Arabidopsis thaliana: one gene and its partners. The protein of the gene in region 2 interacts with the protein of the main gene of each other region in a pairwise test. Each region holds a gene or a part of one and is shown on either strand. Other genes may lie near its edges. The genes, in order: AT1G66760, ARGOS, AT3G52640 and PIN5.

Region 1 (5,553 bases), on a different chromosome or scaffold from region 2:
ATGTCAGAAGTCAGAACCGATTATTAATACTTTTCTCAACAACTTCTGTTTCTTTATTTATTTTTGATAACTTCGACGAGGATAAGTAAGAAAATGGCTTCCTCTTTTTCAGTGTGTATAATGCAGTTCTTGACTGGACTACTCTCAATTGGATATCACGGATTGTGAATACATATTCTCGGTTATAACTTTTAACTTTATAAGTTATACTTTTATTTAGTTTCACAATAAGTGTGGTTTAATTCTTACAAGTTTGTATCAAAATAGGTATTGTTTTATATTTTGAATGTAGTTACAGTATTTGGTGAAATTGCAATTCTATTCTTACTATTTTAATGTATTGACCAATAAAAAAAAGTTGTATAATATATTAATAAGAGATAAACAAAAAAAATGTTTTTACTATATGTGAAGAACCTGTAAATGACATTGTGAATACATATATTCTCGGTTATAACTTTTAACTTTATAAGTTATACATTTCTTTCTTTTCACAATAAGTGTCGTTTTAGTGTTAAAATTTTATTTCAAAATAAGTATTGTTATTATTTTTAGTGTAGATATTTGGTAAATATTCAATTTTAATGTATTGACCAATTATAAAAAATTGTATAATATATTAATAAGCGATAGACAAAAAAATCTAATTGTTTTTTTACTATATGTGAAGAACCTGTAAATGACATTTATACTAAAACGTAAAAAGTATGTATGATATATTGAATCAAAAATAATACTAGTAATCAGTAGTTAAGTTACATCTATTTTGTTAACGAAATAGTAAAAAAAAATGTCATTAAGAGACGGATTTATTATTGATATCAAGTAGAGCAAAATTTGTTTGTTTAGAAACACAAACAAAATCTTAACTTTGGCGGTTTAGTCTGACTAATTTCAAATTTATGTTGTGGAGTATATAAAGTCGATAGTACTTTTTAACAATGATTTTGAAAACTAAAACTTTATGTTATTGGAGTATTATCATGGATTGGAGTTTTTGTCAATGAATTAACATGGAGATGTGGATTAGGTTAGGTTCATCGAGATATGTATTTAAAGTTGAAACATGTGTTTTATTATTATTCTTTTCATTTATTTATTTTTTTCTTTCTGTCGGTCAGTATTGAAACATGTGTTTAGTTTCATTTGTCCTCTCAGGCCTCAGCATGTCTAGTCTAGGAGTATTCTTTATGTTTCAAAATATAAGAGGTTTTAGTTAAATATGCAGATTAAGAAATATCCATTTTTAAAAAAATTCAACCATTCATAAAAATATCATATAATATAAATAATTATAAAATATTAAATTAATCTATAGTTATGTTACACAATTTACATAAATCACGCTGTCATGAGTAGTCTTTTTCATATATCATCTATTGACAAAATAACAATTTATCTTGTTGTTCTTTTGAAAACTAGCTATTACTACATATATTATACATTTTTTTTCTCATAAGTGGTTTAACGCTGACAAAAAAAATCTATTGTAAGATGGTAACCACTGAAAGCCATCTTAGGTTCAATACTTAAATAAATGATATGATATTAAAAATATTGATCATGGACCGATGTTTATCGATTTGAGCCAATGCAATCAATACGAAGAGAGACTTTTATTCCTTATTCTTTAGAAATGTATATCTCATTTTATGACTAATTAAATAATAACTGATGATCAGTATGTGGTTCTATACATTTAAAAATCTTCTAATTCAGTTTTTTTTTTTTTTTTGGTATCGATGTTAAGTATTTATACCGTTTTCAAGTTTGAGACAGAATACAGAGTAAACAATAGAAGCAAAAAAAAAAAAAAAAAAAAAAAAAGGGAGAAAGACTACGACTAAAGGAACTACGAATACAAGAGATAACACGATAAGAAACACAAAGCGAAGCAACTAGTAAAGGCTTGAAGAGGAAACACCGATTCTAATTCAGTTTTCATATCTGTTTGATACTCTTAAGGTATTATATTGTTCTGTGTTCCAGTTCTATCTCATGCTAATCAAAAATATTGTTAATACCACTCTTGCCTTTTTCAAGAACCGACATGATTTTTAAGTTTTAACCACAAATGTATTTGATTGGTAAAAGGTTCTAAAAAGTTTCAACAACTCACAAAGCCTTAAAACTGAACCATTCATGTTTTACTTTTCTTTTTAAGGCTATACAACCAAAACAAACTTTATGTTGTCTAATTAATTTCTCTGGCATAAAAAAAAAAAAAGACTCCACAACTAAAATCTTTTAAGTACAAACTACAAATAGGAACCAATTATTAGTTACTAGTTAGGATGCATCTTCTTCTTACACGTGCTGAATTCTATCTTTTGACTTAAATGAGTGAGATGATAAAAGTCGAAAACGATTTCGCTTTTATACGCGGAAGCGGAAACGTGTTTATTTTCTTTTCTTCGAGTCGCGACGTCGCATATATTATTTATCAAAATACAAATTTTATTATATCAAAATCATAAAGCTAAATAAATACGACACAACTTCCAACATTTTCTCTAACCAGAAAGAAAAAAAAAATGAAGAAGAGTATCGAAACTCCGTTATTGTTGAACACCAAACAATCACAAGACGAAGATAAAGAAAAAATAAGATGGGAGAAGATGAAGAAAGTTGCTTCAATGGCTGCTCCAATGGTCGCCGTGAACATGTCTCAATACCTTCTTCAAGCAACTTCTACAATGATCGTCGGTCACCGGAGCGAACTCGCTCTCGCCGGAATCGCTCTAGGAAGCTCCTTTGCTAATGTTACCGGCTTTGGTGTTCTTGTAAGCAAGTATATGAACCTTTATATATATATATGTATTGGATTAATTTGTTTCTAATTATTGTTGTATACTATATAGTTTGGACTTTCAGGTTCATTGGAAACACTATGTGGTCAAGCATATGGAGCAAAACAATATCACAAGCTTGGATCTTACACTTTCACTTCAATAGTTTTCCTTTTGATTATCTCTGTTCCGATTTCGATTCTTTGGATGTTCATGAACCAGATCTTGCTGTTGCTTCATCAAGATCCTCAAATAGCAGAGTTAGCTGGTGTGTACTGTCTCTGGCTGGTACCAGCTTTATTCGGTTACTCTGTTCTCGAGTCGTTGGTTCGATATTTTCAGTCACAAAGCTTGATTTATCCAATGGTCTTGAGCTCTCTAGCTGCTCTGTCTTTCCATGTTCCTCTCTGTTGGCTAATGGTTCATAAATTTGATTTTGGAGCCAAAGGAGCGGCTGCGTCTATCGGTATCTCTTACTGGCTCAACGCGGTTTTTCTTTGGGTTTATATGAAACGCTCTAGTCGTTGTGTCGAAACGCGGATTTATATGTCCAAGGATGTTTTTGTTCATACAAATATCTTCTTTCAATTTGCCATTCCTTCTGCAATGATGTGTTGGTAAGTATGTACAACTTTATTAAAAATCCATATAGAATTAACCAAGTGATGGTAGTCTAGTGGTGGTCATTGTTTTGTGGATAGGTGAAAGATTTAAAATCTTAGGTTACATAAATAAATGTGTAATGGATTTTTTTTCCCTTCACTAATATTCTATTGACACTTATTTTCTTATTGCTCTTGCTTCCTTCAATAGCCTTGAGTGGTTAGCTTTCGAGGTCATTACTTTGCTGTCTGGTCTTCTACCCAACTCAAAGCTCGAAACATCGGTTATTTCGATTTGGTAATGTATCGAACCGCAAAACTATATAATCTGTGATACTTATATTTTCTTTCATTTTCTAAGCCTTAATTTTTGGGATTGAGCAGCCTCACGACCTCTTCATTGCATTACAATCTAGTAAATGGAATTGGTGATGCAGCAAGGTTTGTTCTTACTTTAATACTCTTACATCGAATTTTCACTTCATTTTATTTTCGAAGAATTAATGTTTCATTTTTTTTTGTTTCGTTGGTTAGCACCAATGTGGCTAATGAGCTAGGAGCTGGGAATCCGCGAGGGGCTCGTGATTCTGCTGCGGCTGCAATCATAATTGCAGCTGTTGAGTCAGTTATTGTGAGCTCTAGTCTGTTCTTGTCTCGCAGTGTGTGGCCTTATGCATATAGCAATGTGGAGGAAGTAATTAGTTATGTGACTGATATCACTCCTATTCTTTGTATCTCAATCCTCATGGACAGCTTCTTGACCGTCCTCTCCGGTTAGCCTTTCTTAACACGCATCTCCGGTTTTGCAACCATGTTATTATTTTTTTGTGAACGTGAACCGAATATATGTTTTGTTTTGTTTAGGGATTGTGAGAGGAACAGGGTGGCAAAAAATTGGAGCTTATGTGAACATAACCTCTTATTATGTCATTGGTATTCCTGTTGGACTTCTATTGTGTTTTCATCTTCACTTCAATGGGAAAGGACTTTGGGCTGGTTTAGTCACAGGATCAACATTACAAACTCTAATCCTATTTCTTGTTATTGGATTTACCAATTGGAGCAAAGAGGTGATTGTAACCGCGTAACTCGCTTTTTTCTGTTTCTAATCCATCATTCGATTTTTCGAGAAATCGAGCTAATATTTGTTTACACATTTTTTCTTCAATGAAATTTTGCAGGCAATTAAGGCTAGGGAGAGAATTGGTGATGAGAAAGTTTGGAGACATGACTCATTGCTTAATTGAAGAAAAAAAGAAATACAAACTTTTGGGGGATTTTGATTGCTTCTTTTTTTGTGTGTGTTTGTGCAATAACCTTCAGTTGATTGTAATTTATATTGAAAGTACATTATAGTCTTTCATATGATATTAGAGTGTAAGAAAGTTTGAAAATATATCTCAGTTAAAAAATGATCTGGTATATAATAGATGAATTAAAGAGTGACCAAAGTTGATTGGTTCAAGCTTAAAACTTCTATACTATAAAGTCTATAATACAACTTTACGTGGCCAAAAAACAAATAATGAACCAAAGAGAGAGTATCTTGAAAGGATATACTCAAAGAATTAAAGAAGTCAAAAAGCAAATTTGAATACTTTCTCCGACAAGAGATGCTCATAAGAGTCAAGGTGAGTAGGTAATTGTTATGGCAGAAAACACGTGGAAGCAACGACACGTCATACATAATATTGAAGATTAACAAAAAGTTAAATTAAATCAACATCAATCCAAGAAACAAAAATGTATGGACTTGCAAAATCAGTTATACAATGAGGTGAATCCAGCCTCGCAGAAGTCCATGTTCAAGTCCAGTTTTGCACCAATATAGTATATTGGTTTCATGGACGTAAGAGTCTTGTCAAATGAATCCAGCCGCGCATCAGTCCATGTTCAAGTCCAGTTTTGCACCAGTAAATTGGTTTCACGAACGTGAGAGTCTTGTTAAATGAATCTAGCCTCGCTTCAGTCCATGTTCAAGTTCAGTTTTGCATCAAGATATTGATTTCATGAACGTAAGAGTCTTGTCATGGAACTCCTAACAATAAATAGATTGACCCATATCATTTTTATATTACGTTCTCGGTTACATCACACTTTTAATGTTGGATTCCTGATACGCCTGCTCAAGAGGAGGGGTTTTCAATTATATTTCAATTGAA
Region 2 (4,300 bases):
AGAGGTTGCATGCAAGTTGTTCAATGGTTTGTGAAAAGAGGTTGCCGTGACATGGAGCTTTGCTTGGCTCTAACAGCGGCCACTTCAAGTTGCCAAGTCGAGGTAGCTGCTTATCTCCTCCCTCGTGTTCCACCACCTGTCTTAACCGCTCTCAGCATCGAAATCCTCAAAGCAGCAGGAGAAAGAAGCGGAGGGTCTCTCCAAGGAGTAGAGTTTCTTCTCAAATCAGACTTCTTAGGAGATTCCACGGCTACATACTCAGTGGCAGACAGCATCGCAAGGTCATCAGAAGACGAATCCGTTCCTTCAGATCTAAAATCGTTTCTCCAAGAACACTGGTCGGAGTCAGCTTTTGAGAAAGGAATGAGAGAAAGCCATGACGATTTCATGAATTTCATGAGAGTTTTGAAAAAAGGGGAGTCAGCGATATCCTTAAGAGACCTTCCTGCACCGCTAAGAGTAGCAATAGCGTACATGCCGCTGTACAGAGAGTGCATGAAAGCGGACGGTCGGTTACTGTCTCAGAGGCTAAGAGGACAGCTTGTAGAAGCAGTGAGACAGCTTCAAGGCTGTGCTGTTGCAGTTGTGGAAGTAAGCCAGACTCGTAACCTTATGGCGGTTTTGGAGCATCACCTTACCGCCATTTTCGATTGAAACAAATGGATTCTGCTTTTGGGCTTCACTGGTTTTCTAATTTCTACGAATAGTTGAAAATAAGCAAATAAATACTACGATTTAAATTAACGGATATTGGGATTTGGGTTTGAGATGACGAAGTGAGGTTTTTTTTTTTTTTTTGTATAATTTCTTCTTATGATGCTTCTATATTATGTCAGTCTCTTCTCCTCCATTTCTCTTATTGTGCGTTGAAGTATTCTCACATATATATATTATGATAATTTAATGTAATATTTATAACTTACATTTATATTGTATATCAATTTCATTGGATTAAGAACCCTAAGATTAATTAAGATCATCATATAATAAATTTCAGATTTACATGAAATTGCAAGTTACATCTGTATTAGCATTAGAATGAGAAGAAGGCATGAAGGCAAGAACGACGAGTAAAACCATAATCCCAATGGGAACCAATAGCAGCATAAACGGAGGCGGAGGTAACGGCGGCAAAACTAACGGAAGTATTAACAGAGATGCCGTTAGACCAACCAATAGGAACAGAGACTCTAAACTGAAATAATTCGCCGGGATCATCATCCTTTTCTGCGCCGAGAAACTCCGCCGTAACTCTTGCTTGCTTTTCTCCGGCGAACTTCGAAAGCTCATGTTTTTCCGGTTGTTTCTTCCGACGTCCATGACTCGGTTGTTCGAATAACTGTCTTGAATGTTTATAATATCTTTTTGTAAGTTTGAGATTTCTCGAATCATCTACAGAGGTTGTTTTGCTGTGTCTGGTTTGGATTTAGAAGATCAGTGACAAAATTTTGCTCAAAGATCTGATCTTTAGGGCAACTGGTTAACCAATGCAGCTTGATCGAAGCAATTGGTGAAGAATTCGAGACAAAATAAGGATGGCCCACGATTCAGAAACAGAGGATGCAGAACAAATCCGAGTTAACTCAACGATTCAGATGTAAAGGAAGAAGCTTTGAGGTGAAGGAGTTTGAGAAGCTTTGTGTATTGGTTTTGGTTGGATCAAGAAACTGTGTGAAACAAGTACTAGTAGGGAAATGAGGAAGACAAGTAGCAATGAAAGAGGAGAATTTATTAATAAAGGAGTTGGAGGAGAATCAGAAGATATGGGGGGAGAAAGAGAGAGAAGAGGGTTCAGTGAATTTAGGGATTTTCTGATATGTTGAAAAGACGAAAAAGAGGAACGTTTATTATATAAAGGGGCTGACAAATGTGAGGAGAAGCAAGTTGCTGAATTTGAAAGATTTGAATTTCGTGTGGCCTAGTCTTCCTCCACAATCACAAGGTTCTTCTCCCCTGGTCTTCTTTTCTCTTACTTTTTCTACCATTTCTTTTACTTATATAACATATGACGTAAGCTACAATCTCCTCTGATCTGAATATGTAAGTAGTATTTAAATAAATGAGTTTTAAAACCATCTTTTTACCATTCTATAAATTTTTAAGAAAATAATTTTCTAGTTTATTTTGAATCATCCAGTTATTAATATACAGGTTGATTTTTAAAATTTTATAATCAAATATTTGATGCGATGAGGAAATTATTTTTATTAACGTACCTACCAATAATTTTGTCGATGTTTATGGATAAATAAGGACCCATAGTGTTGTTCTTCTCGAAGCACTTCATATGGTGAATGCGCTTGTTCTACCAGGAAATGTTGGGCCAATATATGTATATGCTCTCATATTTCTATATATAAAGCCAAGTTAAATAGCTAGGAATGTTTTTCAAATTAATTCACGATGCTATTTTTATATATTTACGTGTATATGGAGATCGGACATAGTAACGTGACAACACGCTTTGCATGTGAAGTCTTGATGAGAGGATGGTTTTTAATAAAGCCAAGATGTTTATATCGCCAGAGGATGAATTCTCACAGAATGATGAATTAAAGCAAATAGACTTCGCTAGTAACTCAGTCGGAAATCACTTGTTACTTTTAATATATAAATATAGTTAATCCCATAAATATAATTCATGGTTCAATGAATTGAGAAACATATAGGCCATTTCCTTTAGAAACAACGTCAAGTGGTTTTATTAGTTTTTTTCCTGGCCTTTAGATACAAAAAAGCCGATGAGTAGTTTGGGAGAATTGATAGATTACCAATACTACAACACTAGTTATCCACATTAATTGTGCAGCATTACTTTAATTAGGCCAAATTAACAATATACGAAGACTGCAGCTTCAGATATTAAACTATTTGACGTGTACCAACAAAGTTTTTTGCATGGATGACAAACCCTAAATTAATAATTTAGAATGTTTATATCGAAAGATCCGCTAGTTTCTACTCCTACTCTACAGATACGAAAATCGTATATTTAGGGATGAGAAAATGGATCTCCTTGAATCGTTGACCAAAAAAAGGAAAGAAAATTGTCAAATGGATCTTCTCAGCATAAGCTCAACTAAAAAAATCAATTTATTTGTGTTTAGTGTTTGTCTCTACAATCAAGAGAATACTTTTACTAAAATATGGGTTCATAAAAATGTTCACTGAATGTATACACTAGTAACCAAAACTTATTTGGTGCGGTTTAAGATTTATTTTTTATTTAAATAAAAGTACTTCCTTTTAAGTTCTTTGGAAACAAAAGAATTAATCAGTTTAAAATTCAGTTCACTTGTGTGTTTGTTCTTGGATAGATATACAGTATTACGATTAAACATCTCTATTTGTACGTTTTTAATTAGTAATGGAATTTGTTTATTGAAGACTAGATGAGTAAATAATGGTGGAAAGTTAAGATGTAGGTGTGTATATATGGCAACCCATGCATGATTATTGCCTTGAACACCGCACACATTTAGATTGGTGTCCAGTGGACCTGTATCAAAAAGTTCAAGAAAAAAAAGTATTATCATAATATTATTCCCTCTGTCTTACTAATAAGTCAGTCATGTTTAAATATTGCTTCTTCTTGTTTTATATACCCTACTTCTAATTTAATTGATTTTCGACAGTCAATATGCATAGACATATGTTTTGGTCTAATTCTTAGACACTTGATGCATTACAATAATCTCAATAACAAGGTCCATATGCTCAGTTTCATAACGTTCGCGAATTTTAAAGATTTTTGTTTTGGTCAGCTTTTTTAGATTTGATAATATTATTCGATTATTATCTTGTGAAATATTATTCCATTATTATACTAAGTATAATTTGAGAAAAAGATTACTACAGTATAATTTGAGAAAAAGATTACTACAGTATAATTTGGTTGATTTGTAAGGAGAAAGGCGATCGATGAGACACTGAGGATCGAACCACATGTAAACGTCACGTGGCTCTTTGCCTTTGATTCAATGCATGATCTCTCGAGTCTCGACCAAACCAACTTGCCTAATTAATATTCCTCGTACGACTCTTTAATCCCCTTTTTTGTTTGCTTAAAAAAAAAGATTACAAATTATTTTGTTTGTTGTTTTTTTTTTTGTTTTTTTTAATCCCCTTTGATACAAATTATTTTGTTATTGTGGAAATTTAACCCAAATTATTTGAAATTCTTTCCCCGACAAGCATCTCTTATTGTGGTTGGTCTAATAGGATTAATGGTCGTTTTCGTGAGTGATGTTATCATGAAACAAGTTAATTGAAAAGTGTTCATAATTTGGTTTCCAAAATT
Region 3 (8,541 bases), 2.6 Mb from region 2:
GTTATTGGAATTGCAGAGAGTGATAACGCTATTCGAGCTGAAACTTGGACCAATTTTGGCAACACTTTTGGTAATTTAGTGATTCCATTACTGTGTCGAGTTTATCAGATTTGCTATTGAGTTGTGTTTTGATGTTTTGGTTGTTATTTTTGGTTGCAGATACACAGAACTACAACGAGCTATGTAAGCTAGCAAATGGGGAGTTCAAGCACTTGTTCATCTAATGTTGTGATGATGATTATGATCATGGAAGCGATTCCATTAAAACATTTTGTAGAGATGCTTATGCTTTATATGTATTTGATGTCTCACCACTTTCTGGTTCTATGATTTTATTTACTTAGTATATGTAACAACTTCTTAATCTATCACAACTAAGCTTAAATTGCTGTTTTGTTAATTGAGGTACCAAAACACAAAACAAAACACTATTTTCTTCTTGGCAGCTAAGATTTTGCTCTGGATTTAGAATTGTATTGTTGCTTTATCTATAGGATTTTGTGAAAGCAAACTTTTTTCTTATAAATTTCTTGCCAGTGTAATAAAGAATTTAACATGAATTAGCTCAAAGACATATTTTAATAACCTTGGTTGAGAAAAAAGGTTTCTACCACTAAGGTATTGGTGGTGTTGCTGGTTAGGCAATGTCTTACGGAAACTGACAAGTAATTTTGAGCCGAGAGGAGAGGGAATTAAATACAAGTCTCAGTCCTGCTTCAAGGCTTTTGTGATGATTGACTTAGCAGCCAAAATTCCGATGTAAGCCAACGTTGTGACTGTAATACCTGCAACGAGGACTGCATTGTCGTATGCTGAGTGCTGGACTGTGTACACATGCACCCTTAAAGTGTCCCAGTTGCTTTCGGTCCACACTGGATCAACCATCCCCATAGAATCTGATGAGTTCTGTGGTAGAATTGTCCAAGCTCCATCGTTATACTTCAATCGAGTTGAATAAGCTGGAACATACCTGCCAAAACCAGAACTTAATGTGTTATGCTCAGACAGCAAATTGGTTAGGTCACATACAACATATCAGGTCAGGGGAAGAAGAAAATGATGATAGCTTCAATTCAAAGGTCAACAAACTAAAGATAGACTTTCTCCCAAGTCTAAAAACACTCCACTTCTGAAGCCTATCCTAATTAATAATTCCTATAAAATGCCTACCAGACTTAAGATTTTGGTTCATTTTGAGACATAAGAGAGAACTTGAGCATGCAAACCAAATTGCAATTTCCAAGCACAGAGTTTACCTGGTTGTGGAGACAACACATGTTCCTTCCTTGTTGCTCTCTGCTTTGATGCACACTTCGTCAGTTTTGCTACAGACTCCTTTTGAACAAACTGAGGTTGTATTTCCCTTTTGGACAGATGTTTTATCTGCCAGAAAGTTCCATAGGAATCTAGAAACATCACCGACGTAACCAAGGTAAGGTTTGGAGGAAGGTTCTCCGAGGATGACGCCAGCATAGTTGCCTGGACAAGTGTTTGTCGGTGAAATATAGTCTTTTACCAAGTTGCAAGATAAGCCCGGTTCACAAGCTAAAAGACAGGTTAGAAGCTCTTCAACGAAAGAAGCATTGACATGGATGGATCCCAGAGCTGAATTGCTTGTATCTTTGTTGTCACTTGCTAGGATGTAAAGTGTTCGGGCCACAACAGAAGCAGCAGCTACTACAGACGAGGAGTTGATATTTGCTGCAATACAACACCAGAAAGGAATCAAAAGTGCAAAATGGGGTTTGGAGCGAAAAGAAGAGAAAGACAGGCTGTGACTCTTCTTACACAAGTCATCGAGGTGACTATGGTAGAACTTATTCACAAAGTTGGTATCAAAGTCTTCAAGTACAACAGCTGAAGTCTGAGGGTTCTGCAACAATGAATATGATGTTATACCTTTTTCACTCTAGGCAATCTGGTTCAGAATCACATAATAGTAAGCAAGTATACTTCTCCTGTCATATTCATGATCAACTGAAGGTGAAGTATATGCAAAGAGTATAGTGCGAATACACATTTGAATTGTCTTCCCATCTATTTACTTGGAATATATATTGTACCTTTCTCATGAAAGCCATCAAGGAGGATGGGGGTATTCCAGGGTTTGCAGTATCTGCTGAAAGAATTTTGATGTTTTTTGATGCAAGTGAATCCTGAGCTATCTTTAAAGCATCCAGTGTCATGTTTGTAACTGAAGAAACCTAAAGCAGAACACCAAAAGTGGAGGTTAAGTCGCCTATGACAGTTTTCACATTATCGAACGAATTCGAATTATGCAAGAGTTTCAGGATATCAGGAATTTCTCACCCTTGTTTTATGAGCAAAGAAGGTGTTTATCCCTCCACTTAAACCTTTTCCAACAGATCCTATTTCAAGCACCTGTTAGATAATAGAAGAAGCAATCTGAATTCGATCTTTAGATTTAGAAAATTGTGAACATTCAATTTCACAAGGAACACTTAAACTTGCTTTCTGCGCTACTAAGAAACAAATAAGTTGCAGCAACGATGAAACACAGGCAACTTTTTCCACAGGGATTTCATGCATAAGGCTAGCTGTCTCTATCAACTTTGTCAGACCAAAACAATAATGATTACCGTTTCAATCGAAGTATTGCTAAGGCCTGCGACAGCATCTGAATGCAGATCTAATTCGTGTAAGAACCTCCTGCTGCCAAGGTAACCCCATGTCTCTCCGGTCAGAACCAAAAACACAAGCTGCATTCATTTACGATTTACATGTATTAAAGCTTGCAAACAACAAAAAGCGTGAAATAACACTAAATCACATGGTACACTGGCACCTGTTTTTTGAGATTACTAATACCATCAACTCGAGAAAGAGCATCAACTGCTCCTAGAAGAGCTACCAGACCCTGAAAGAAGGAGAACGTGTTGAGCAATAAATCGGGAAAAGAAGAATAAGAAGAGTAAATAAATGTATTCTAGATCAACCCAAAAGCAGAAAATAGCAAGTTCTCACAGATATTGGTGAATCTGCACCAAAACTTTTGTCACGGAAAAATGATGCAGTATCCATGGAGGCCACAGTCAGCACAACTGGTTTGCGATTGTTGGAAGACGAAACACTGATTGGTGGAAGCGAGGACCAAACACTGTCCTTCATAACAAAGTTGTTAGAAAACGAAACGTATCCTTTAAAAGGTTTTCATATGTCATTAGATCAGACAGTAATAAAGACCTAAATCTTTACCTATATCCGCCCAATGGGAGGCAAGTTCCCTCCTGCAAACAAGCCTCCGAATTGTGTGTTCCAGCTTTGGTAGTCTAATACAAAAAATAGAGAATTGGGTGTCATAATCTAAGTCAAAGTGAAGATCCATAAAGCTGGTTAACGTTCCAGTGAGCAAGATTGCTAAAGCCATATACCTCCATAACCATATTGAATTCAGCAACATCACTGGTATATGTTCCATGCTTCATCTTTTTCTTGGAAAGGATCTGCGCAAATATAATAGGATGTAAATATGTAGTCGATAACCTGAAAAAAGTGAAGCTATCCACATAAACTATACACTTTAGATTGCTACCAACACAACAGAAACATAAAGCTAGCTTCTTGACAGAACCTCATCTGGTAAGGACAACAACATACTATAGAATGACATAGTTGACCAGCAGTTTAAAGGCAACTACCACAAGACAAATGGAAAGGCTATGGTTGAGTCCAATTACAGGCTATGGAAAGCAACATGCATTTGAAATCTACAGATGCAGCTGGGAGTTGCCTTCAGCTGGATGAGACAAACATTCCAGGACCAAATTTGTATTCTTATTTAAAATGGGTAATCAATGCTTAGAAAAATTTCTGCAGACTAATTCAGTTTAAACTAGGAGTATTCATTTCATATGACCTTGGAGATACATATCTCATGCATCATTTTACAGCCATATTTTCATCAAGCAATACTGCTCTTAAGAGTGACCAACAGTCATAATGCCTCTCTAAGCCTTGAGTTCATTTCCTCATATTTCTAAAAATGTCATCAATTTCGCTTTTCTGACAACACAAATAGACACATTTAAAATTTGCAAAAGAATGCAAGTTTGAAGGATTACCTCATGCACAGCTGATATGCCACTTTCTGACAATAAGTACACAGGAAAATTATAATTTCTCCACATGATGCTTGATGCCTGCAAATAATCATTTTTTAGCAATGGTCAATGGCTAGAGACTTATCGCCTGCAACTACTCATAAGAATCAAAATCATTTTTTCTCCGTAGATAACAATAAGAGGAACTATCTTTTAATTAAGGTAGATAAATATGCAACAGATTTTTGAACTTCTTTATAAGTGATCATCTAGGCAGATACATGCATTCCTCCAGTAAAATTATACCATAAGAAAAGGATTTATGGTATTTGTGTGTTAGCAGGTAGTTAAGTTTAGTTCCAGAAGAAAACAGCATATAACTCGGAAATGCTTGACTATGGATTTGGTGATAACTGATTGAAACAATTTCCAACCCACTATAAAAGAGTTGACAGGAAGAAGTAATTTCAAAGATCCAGACAGAGTTTACGCTACCGTACAGCTGAATTCCATTTGTACTCAACGTTTTCATAGGGTGAAAACTGGGCTTGAGGAAACCTTTTATCAGGAGAAAACCCTACAATAAAGAAGAAAGAAACACTAACGCCATCAACATAGATAAGAAGTATCAAGTACTATTTTTAAGGGAATTAAGAACTCAAGACAATTTAAGGAATTAGCCATTCAAGTTGACAGAATCATAAATATGTGGATGGACATAGTACCTTTTAACTTTTGTTGGAAATTAGATCCTGATTCAACTAGAACACCACCAATTTTGCTAGCAAAGCTCAAATCAGTTGACACCCTGGAAAAGGCACAAAGAGGAGTGGTCCTGTTATTTCTACTGAATAGAGTGTCTAAGCGATGTACAAGTCTAATGAACAATGCCAGAAGTAAGCCAGACTGCAGGGTTCTACAGTAAAGTGTTTGGAGGTATACCTACTTTCCGTTAGTCGAATGAAAATAAAGCGGAAAAAGCCAATGAATTACTGGTTCCACTAAACACCTAATCCATGCACCAACAACCAAGTGACTACATTTCTAGCAGATTTCAAAAATGGTGATAAGAGGGTATACTCATTCCAATCTGTTGTTTCACTGTCATGGAAGATTACTAAAAGTGTTTGCCTTAAATACTCAAGTACTAATGAAAACAAACTCTTAGATATACGTTATTCTTAAGGATGTAATTGCCTTTCCAAAAAGGCTGATTTGGCACCCAAAAGCTAAATCTTGTTTGACGTTAAATAAAACACCAAAATGAGAACTACAAGCGAGTGGGAAAGCACTACTCCACAAATTAAGAGATCACTAACAAAATCGAATAGAGGTCATGAAAGTTTTGTAAATGAAAAAGGAGACATGCCTGGTAAAGAAATCTTCCATTTCATCAGCTGTAACCAAAATAGTGTGTGGCTGAACCAAATCTTTAACGTCCTTTAATTTTATGATTGGAGCCACCACTTTATTTATTCCAGGATCTGAGTATTTTTATAAACATAAAACTTAGAGGACCTCATCAACAGATAAAAATCATGTAGCTGAGAGGCCCAAAAGAAGCTTACTTGAACATCCAATCTCTCCAGACAGATTGAGAAGACGTACACAAGGAAACCCATCAACAGCAACATACATTAGCTTCTGAAGGTCAGGTACAGATTCAATAGATGTTATCTCATCTACACAAAACGAAACCTCAATTTCAGATTACAATGTTCTATCAACTAATACATTTCATCACCAATTTTATCCGGGGAAAGGAAACTCACCAGCGAGAGAGAGATGAAGAGGAAGGATTGAAAGTAGAACAAGTGTAAAAGCTATAGAAAGAAGACGAATAAGTCCCATTGCCATAGCATCCGTCAGAGAGTTGCGATTATTAGCGGAAGCTACTTGCAAATCATCGCTGCAGATACGATCAAGAATAATGTGACCGATTTTATAAAAGATCAAAAAATGTTAGAATCGGAAGAAGCAGTACCTGGGAAACGAAAAAAGGGGAAATTGGAAGAGAGAGCGAGAGAGAGGTCCGATTCGCCGGAGAAATGGAAACCTAGCTCGGAATTACGCGGTGGGAGTCTGAGTCAAAGACTGAGATTTTTCGTGTTGATTCTTATGTCTTTCAAAATTCCCAAGATATAGAAAAATTGAGGTATTCACATTTTGTGCGGATTTTATTATATTAAAAGTAATTAAGTGAACCTATCTATATATATATTTTTGCAGCCATTTTGTAAAATAAATCCTAGATTTGGAACTTATTTACAATGGCTGCCACTGGCTTTTATTTATTTATTTTCTTTTAGCAATAAATTGATTAACAAACAAAAAATATTCCAAATATATTCCAATCCCATATATCACGCAGATTTCTCCAAAATTTGAACTAGATTTCGGAAATTATTTAAAACAAAAAATATTTGACAAACCAAAATACAATTGCAATCCCTTAAAATGAGCAAAACGCACATAAATACATTTCTTATCAGTTCACTAAATCTTATTTCTCCAAAATTTGAATTAGATTTCGACAACTATTTAAAACAAAAATTTGTTTGACAAACTAAAATATAATTGCAATCCCGTAATTTTTTTTTTTAAATTAGCGGTGTACTACAAATTTTTTTAACGGGACGGGTTTGGCAGAACGGGTTTGGAAGGATGTTACTTAATAACAATTGTAAACTATAAAATATAAATATTTTATAGATAAATATAATTTACAGACTTTTATATATACTAATTTTAAAAAATAATTGTCTCCGCGGTGTACCGCGGGTTATAATCTAGTTGTTTATACAAAAAGAAAAAATATTTTCATTCCACATTTTCTTTTTTTTTTTGTAAGAAATTTGTATTACATTTTATGGCTTCATTTTTACAAAATCGTAGACTAATTATGATTGATTAGGGTATTATTTGCTAGATTATATAGGCAAGTTTTGGCTAAAAATTGATAAAAAAAAAAACATATTGTATATGGTAAAACTATAATTTTAAAGAAATTATTCCATATGTGATTTTAACAAATAACGTAGATCATGTATAAACTGCATGTTAATTAAGAAAAAACTAGTGTTAATTTTGAAAACAATGTGTAAAAAAAATATAAGGCGCAAATTCTCATCCAACTTGAAAGTTTTTTTTGCATAAAAATCAAATTTGTCGTATATTAAGATCGGTAATAAGCCGTAATATAAGATTGGTCGCATCATAATAAAAAGTGACTACACCTCCTTGATAGTCTCGCTTAGGCATCTTTTAGGTCATATCAATACAACATACACATATACATATTTTTCAACACCTGAGGTGCGCGAAGATAGACACTTCTTCATCCTCTCCGTAATTCTCAAAATTAGGGTTTTCTTCCGGCAGCTCTCTCAGGTACTTTCTCGCTCTTTCTTCTTTCATCTCATTGCGCCTCTCTTCGTTTCCTTTCGTGAATCTTTTTTTTTGGTTGGGGATCCAAAATTGGGATTTGTGTAACTCTTCTTATCTTAATTAAAAACTGAATCTTTCTCTCATTTTTGTTCCAATGATTGCTAAGTTAGCTTAAACACGCCTTTGATTGACATTTCTCTGAGTTATAGCTTTGTATGTGTATTGGGTTGTTCTTGGTTGTATCTATCATTGTGGTCAATTTGTGTGAAATAATCAAATAGAATTGTAGTTATAAGCTGAGGATTCTCTTAACAGGTTAGATTGGCAGCATAAAAAATATCACTTGCAAATTCTGAACAATGTCTGTTGTGGGAGATTCTAACATGGAGCTGGAGTTTTCTAAGCAAAGATACTATTTTGACTTTAGCCCTTCTTATCTTTCTTGTTGCCATGAATATTTTAACCTTCTTTGCATCTAACCAAGGCCTATGATATCATGGTTTTTATCCGCTCTCAGGGGTCATTTCGTTTCTTATCTTTTTTTGTTTCACCTGTTGAGCATTTCATCGCCCTCTTCTCTCTTTGTCTATTTGTTTGTCACCTTTTTAGCCGCATTATGGCAAAGCGTCAATTCGAACTTCTTATTCTTCTTTTCTATTGGCCTCTTATTGTTTCTTTTCCAACCTTTCCTCGGTTTTATTCTCTCTCCCCACTTGCTTCTTGCTTCTGTGTCTCCTCCACAGTTGTACTGCAAGCATTCTTTTCTAGATATTTAAGATGTCAAGGACGAGGACTGCTGCTTCTGAGGCTCATGACTCCATGGAATCTGAGGAAAGGGTAGACCTTGATGGTGACAATGATCCTGAGGAGATTCTGGAGGAGGAAGTTGAATACGAAGAAGTTGAAGAGGAGGAGATTGAAGAGATAGAAGAGGAGATAGAGGAGGAGGTTGAAGTGGAAGAAGAGGAGGAGGAGGAGGATGCTGTTGCAACGGAAGAGGAAGAAGAAAAGAAAAGGCATGTTGAACTTCTTGCACTTCCTCCACATGGTTCAGAGGTTTATCTTGGAGGGATTCCTACTGATGCTACTGAAG
Region 4 (5,532 bases), on a different chromosome or scaffold from region 2:
ATATTTAAAAAATTATGTAATATTGATATGTTTGTAGTTTGGTTTCCCTTTCTATTGGCTGCTATTTACTTCATTCTTTCAATGATTGACGTTGAACTTCTTTTCGACCAAAATCAAAACATCCTCTCCTTTATGTATAACTTTGTTTCTTCTGATTTGATTTGTAACATTAACATGATTACATTTATATATAGTATATAATACGTAACCATGCATTTAACTTGGTACTTGGATTCGTTTATGAAAGATTGAAAGGAAAACGAAAGTTATATGATCACTACTCTTGAATTCGAACTCTAATTTAGGAAGAACAGTATAAACCCCAACATATAGTGTTTTCTGGTCTGAAAAACTTTGATTGTTTTGTTTTTGTGGTTTGGGAAAAAACATCAACATAATATTCATGACGTCAAAAGTACAAAACAAATAAGATGGATTTTGAATAAACTTTCCAATCGTGCTAGCTAGCTATTTCTGACATAATTCAAGAAGAATAATGAAAATATGTCACACAAAAACAAAAGTATTAACGATGAATGAATGAATGAGAGAAGACAAAAACCTTTTTGATATTAAAAAGACTGTAATATATATCAACACATCAGGAGAGAAATTTGAAAGCATATTATAGATTTGTAATCATCAAGTGATAAATAGAACTTATTCTACTAGCATTATTATTCATATTTATATATGATCCCTCAATTTCACCAGTGAATAAGCATCCTCCACGTTTTCACAGATTTCTAATCCACCGATTTTAACTTTTGTTCCATCAGTCAAATCCCCCTTTTTGTTTTTGTTTTAGTCCGACTATATATATTTGTTTGCTTATGTTTTTCTATTTGTTCCAAATCTTTGGTAAAGATAGGTGTTTCCATAAAATGTTATTATCAAATCAAATGATAAATAAATGCTTTCCAGATCATTTTATGCCTCTGCATGATTCTCTAGTAATTAGATCAAATCAATTTTCTCATCATGAATATGTGTAATAGAAAAGACTTTGTGAATGGACAATATATATGGTTACAAAACAAAAATATACCATAGAATTAAAAAGTGCTAATATGATGATATTGCACCTAGCAATATGTGTTGTTGTGATTATATTAGAGTCCAGAAGGCAAATAATAAATTTGTTGTCTAGCAAGAAAGGACAAGAGCACGAGGTACAAATTTTTCTGTAAACTTTTGTAGTTCTTGAATGGCTTCCTCAATCCTCACGATGATAGATTTTTCGCTAGCTCGTAGTATAATATGGTTCTTTGATATTTTAACAAAGAAGAAAGACATGGCCATATGATTTTTTATCGAACGAAACATAAAAAACAACGTAAAACATGGTTTAAGATAAAAGTAAGTAAGTTATTTGTAGACTTCTCTATCTATCTATATATTAACATATTCTAAAACCCATGACATGTTATTTCTTAAACCATGAATATATTGAAACATTCAAATCATCACTAGGTATAAGTAAGTGAAATTCATTTTCTTATAAGAAATCTCTCTTTGTCGGTTATGAAATTGGTTGCTATCGCCAGGTCGTAGGGCACAAATACCCATTTCGGCATATATACAAACTATTCCATGCACTTTACTTATATTACATGCACTAGCATAGTTCTGCTCCCATTTTATGAAAGTGGTTAATAAATATAAATATTAAGATTAAGAAAAAAACGATTAAGCAAATATTTCGAATAAATTATTGAAAATATATTATTTGGTTAGTCTCATGTGTTGTGGCGACGAGTTACGACAGCCAAAAACATATATTGGTCGAGACGATCTTCTAGTTATGGTGCTAAAGCTGCAACCTCATTCTTTATTCTGCGACATTACCATTAATTAATATAGTCAAATATTGAAAGAAATGTTTACGTCATACACAAACACTACACTCACTATTTACAGGAAACAATTGGAATAGAATCATATGCCACGGCACGGTCTGGTCAATTATATTGATAACGATAACTCTCTTGTTTCTCAATTAAACTAATGGCTAAAAATATGAGGTTGATTTTAATTTTTTTATCTAAATATTTAGACTCAAATTTCAATTGTATCTATTCTATAGGAATTTAGCCAAATTATTTATAAATATTCGTAATCATATTCCGAAGAAAAAAATATTATTGTTTAATTTATATCTAAACTTTACTTTTGTTTGAATATTACTCATGGATATCTCATTACCTATCTTTTTTCTACAACAAATAAAACAATTAAAAATTTATCTATAAATATGAACATGTTGGTTTCTCTATCGTAACACATTTACTATCTACGAACGAATTTAGAAGCTTTGTTTTCTTTCCTTTCGTTTGCTACTACTGCAACATTTCTATTTTTCTGATAAAACCATGATAAATTGTGGAGATGTTTACAAGGTAATCGAAGCAATGGTTCCACTCTATGTAGCCTTAATCTTAGGCTATGGCTCTGTGAAATGGTGGCACATCTTCACGCGTGATCAATGTGATGCTATAAACCGTCTCGTTTGCTATTTCACCCTGCCGCTCTTCACCATTGAGTTCACGGCCCATGTCGACCCGTTCAACATGAATTACCGGTTCATCGCGGCCGATGTCCTCTCTAAGGTCATCATAGTCACGGTCTTAGCGTTGTGGGCCAAATATAGCAACAAAGGAAGCTATTGTTGGTCCATTACTAGTTTCTCTCTATGCACTCTTACTAACTCTCTTGTCGTTGGTGTGCCATTGGCTAAGGCAATGTACGGACAACAGGCTGTTGATCTGGTGGTTCAATCCTCGGTATTTCAAGCCATCGTGTGGCTCACACTCTTGTTGTTTGTCTTAGAGTTTAGAAAAGCCGGATTTAGTAGTAATAATATCAGCGACGTACAAGTAGACAACATCAATATCGAAAGTGGAAAAAGAGAAACTGTGGTTGTGGGAGAGAAGTCGTTCCTTGAGGTCATGTCCCTCGTTTGGTTGAAGCTTGCAACGAATCCAAATTGCTATTCTTGCATCCTTGGGATCGCATGGGCTTTTATTTCTAACAGGTAAAAATGAATCTTTAATTAAACTTTATATTGGTACCTATAAGATGTTTAACAAAGTGTTAATTAGTATGTGTGATCAGGGACTCAGGAGACTACATTAATTCCACCCCTTACTCCGAGGCAACCGTTAAAATTGCCTAAAAATATCTATAGTTTGACGTTTAAACCATCTAAATTATTACTTTTCTGTGTAGCGCCTGATGATCTATAGTTAAAATTTTGACAGAAATATAGGTCACGATTGTTTCTTTGCATTTGCGTTTATATTTCCATGTGACAAATGACTAGGACATTTTTAACATGGTAACATAATTTGCAAACGTGACATGTACATGCAAATAAACTAATCATGATTTTAATCTGAATATTAGAGTCTTTGACCAAATTTCTATTTTATTTGTTTTAGTGTGAATTTTGGGTTTAGGGTTTTGATTAGTGTTTTGTATACTCTTGGCTAACAAATAAAGACTTAAGTCTAATAATTGATGGAAATTAATTGGAAATATAGATGGCATCTGGAGCTGCCGGGCATATTAGAGGGTTCGATTCTTATAATGTCAAAAGCAGGAACAGGAACGGCCATGTTCAATATGGGTACGTTTATTTATGTCCATGCAAGTATCTTTCTATACGTAAAGATTACGTATCAGTATTGAGATAACAGTGAATACATGCATATATACGCAGGAATATTCATGGCACTTCAAGAAAAGTTGATAGTATGTGGAACAAGCTTGACTGTGATGGGAATGGTATTGAAGTTTATTGCCGGACCGGCGGCCATGGCCATCGGCTCTATTGTCCTTGGCCTCCACGGTGATGTCCTCCGCGTAGCCATCATTCAGGTCATAAATTCTACTTTATCCTTTTGTACCCTAATTCTACTGAAGTTTGTATATAAAAAAAAAAGTAGATCATTTTCCATTCATTCATCCACTAAGATACTAACTTTATATTTTTCAGTTTAATATATCATTAATATTTATATGAAATTTACAGGCTGCTTTGCCACAATCGATTACTTCGTTCATTTTTGCTAAGGAATATGGATTACATGCAGATGTTCTAAGCACAGCGTAAGTCCAAATTTTAAAAATTCAGTCTATTTAAGAAGAAAATGGTAATATGAAATTAAATTAAAATTTTGATAAATGTAGGGTGATATTTGGGATGTTGGTCTCTCTACCTGTGCTCGTCGCCTACTACGCAGCTCTGGAGTTTATTCATTGATTAAACTAATAAATTCGATTATATCATCAATATTACCCTTTGTTCATCTTTCACAAGTTTTTTTTTTTGTTATCTCTTTTACACTTTCCTCCTAAAGGAGATTTTGAAGTATATTCGAGATATGAAAACCATTAACTGAATGAATTAACCTAGTTTATGCTTAATTTTATACTTTCTTAAGCTCTCTTTATTTTCGTAGTATGCATAATTTAGTATTTTGTTCACATATACGTATCAAGAAAAGATAAAAACTCTATAAATGAAAATACATCATGTTCGGATCTAAAATTGTTTTAATACGTACACTAAATATTATAAGCCCTTTTTTTGTTAACAAAAAAAAAAAAAGAATAAATGAAACGAAATTCAGGTTAGAGATCAAATAAAATCTTGTTATTATTTGATTCATGATCATACATACTAACCAAATCAGGATTTATGAAATAAATTATTCTTTCTCCTCAACCGAATCAATATGAAGATAAAAGGGGTAATTTAGTCTTTTCGAATTCGTTTTTCTTACCGAATCTCTTTAGTTTTTTTTCTTTCTTTTGTGTGGAGGAGAGAAGAGAACGCAACACTTTCTTCCCAATCTCTCTCTGCTTTCTCTCTCTAGACGTGATCTCTAATTCTCTAATGTCTTCCTGCATTGCCATTTCCTCTAACCCCTCCACAATCGGAGGAAGACGATTCCTGGGAGCAAGAGAAACGATGGGACTTCCCATCGGAAAATCTCTTAGAGTGAGAGAATTATGGTGTGTTCTTAATGCTTAATAATCACCGACACAGCCATTGTTCTTCATCATCTCCATGGATTTTGATTCCATTTCTCGGGAAAGCACTTTTCTTTCCCCATTGCTTAACCAAAGTACCATCCTTTATTCCCTCTCTGATGTTCTGATTCAATCTTAAAAACCTCAGCTTGAATTTTTGTTGTGGGGTTTTGGTTGGGTTTGTGAATTTTAGATGCAATGTGGCAAATGAACTTGGGATCAGATGATACAATGGGTGTTGATGGGTCTTATCCGGAACGTCACGGAGAGCCAGATTGTGCTTATTATATAAGGACTGGACTTTGTAGGTTTGGTTCAACTTGCCGATTCAATCATCCTCACGACCGGAAACTGGTACTGACTCTGTTTCTGTGTTTGTTCTTTCCTCTGTATCTTGTTGACTCAAAGTTTGTAGCTTTGAGGGTCTGTGTGTGTGTGTGATTACAAGCTGATGAATAGTCTCGTATCCAATTTCTAGGTTATAGCAACTGCAAG

What was found.
Region 1: the proteins of ARGOS (region 2) and AT1G66760 interact in a protein complementation assay, tested with the Arabidopsis thaliana proteins (one large-scale study listed by BioGRID).
Region 3: the proteins of ARGOS (region 2) and AT3G52640 interact in a protein complementation assay, tested with the Arabidopsis thaliana proteins (one large-scale study listed by BioGRID).
Region 4: the proteins of ARGOS (region 2) and PIN5 interact in a protein complementation assay, tested with the Arabidopsis thaliana proteins (one large-scale study listed by BioGRID).

The regions. Positions count from the first base shown.
Region 1 is NC_003070.9:24,899,576-24,905,128, forward strand, and holds AT1G66760 (MATE efflux family protein), read left to right. Parts: upstream 1-2,306; 5' UTR 2,307-2,534; coding exon 2,535-2,783; exon of another isoform or gene 2,784-2,861; coding exon 2,862-3,406; intron 3,407-3,602; coding exon 3,603-3,689; intron 3,690-3,775; coding exon 3,776-3,832; intron 3,833-3,925; coding exon 3,926-4,164; coding exon of another isoform or gene 4,165-4,169; exon of another isoform or gene 4,170-4,255; coding exon 4,256-4,461; coding exon of another isoform or gene 4,462-4,479; exon of another isoform or gene 4,480-4,572; coding exon 4,573-4,638; 3' UTR 4,639-4,868; downstream 4,869-5,553.
Region 2 is NC_003074.8:22,127,133-22,131,432, reverse strand, and holds ARGOS (auxin-regulated gene involved in organ size), read right to left. Parts: upstream 1,929-4,300; 5' UTR 1,393-1,928; coding exon 1,000-1,392; 3' UTR 961-999; downstream 1-960. Other genes in the region: AT3G59910 (Ankyrin repeat family protein), read left to right, coding at 1-654. UniProt on the Arabidopsis thaliana protein: Promotes cell proliferation-dependent organ growth. Takes part in the AXR1-dependent auxin signaling pathway that requires ANT during organogenesis.
Region 3 is NC_003074.8:19,514,373-19,522,913, forward strand, and holds AT3G52640 (Zn-dependent exopeptidases superfamily protein), read right to left. Parts: upstream 6,173-8,541; 5' UTR 6,046-6,172; intron 5,971-6,045; 5' UTR 5,919-5,970; coding exon 5,834-5,918; intron 5,744-5,833; coding exon 5,630-5,743; intron 5,546-5,629; coding exon 5,431-5,545; intron 4,870-5,430; coding exon 4,787-4,869; intron 4,639-4,786; coding exon 4,562-4,638; intron 4,161-4,561; coding exon 4,083-4,160; intron 3,465-4,082; coding exon 3,393-3,464; intron 3,291-3,392; coding exon 3,217-3,290; intron 3,119-3,216; coding exon 2,986-3,118; intron 2,879-2,985; coding exon 2,807-2,878; intron 2,721-2,806; coding exon 2,601-2,720; intron 2,383-2,600; coding exon 2,311-2,382; intron 2,205-2,310; coding exon 2,064-2,204; intron 1,874-2,063; coding exon 1,257-1,873; coding exon of another isoform or gene 1,253-1,256; exon of another isoform or gene 971-1,252; coding exon 706-970; 3' UTR 501-705; downstream 1-500. Other genes in the region: AT3G52630 (Nucleic acid-binding, OB-fold-like protein), read left to right, coding at 1-70, 160-224; AT3G52660 (RNA-binding (RRM/RBD/RNP motifs) family protein), read left to right, coding at 8,226-8,541. UniProt on the Arabidopsis thaliana protein: Probable subunit of the gamma-secretase complex, an endoprotease complex that catalyzes the intramembrane cleavage of integral membrane proteins such as Notch.
Region 4 is NC_003076.8:5,398,363-5,403,894, forward strand, and holds PIN5 (Auxin efflux carrier family protein), read left to right. Parts: upstream 1-2,277; 5' UTR 2,278-2,372; coding exon 2,373-3,034; intron 3,035-3,542; coding exon 3,543-3,628; intron 3,629-3,721; coding exon 3,722-3,879; intron 3,880-4,033; coding exon 4,034-4,110; coding exon of another isoform or gene 4,111-4,114; exon of another isoform or gene 4,115-4,191; coding exon 4,192-4,264; 3' UTR 4,265-4,483; downstream 4,484-5,532. Other genes in the region: ZFN3 (zinc finger nuclease 3), read left to right, coding at 5,075-5,132, 5,231-5,391, 5,516-5,532. UniProt on the Arabidopsis thaliana protein: Auxin transporter regulating intracellular auxin homeostasis and metabolism. Mediates the auxin transport from the cytosol into the lumen of the endoplasmic reticulum. May also act as an auxin efflux carrier when located to the cell membrane.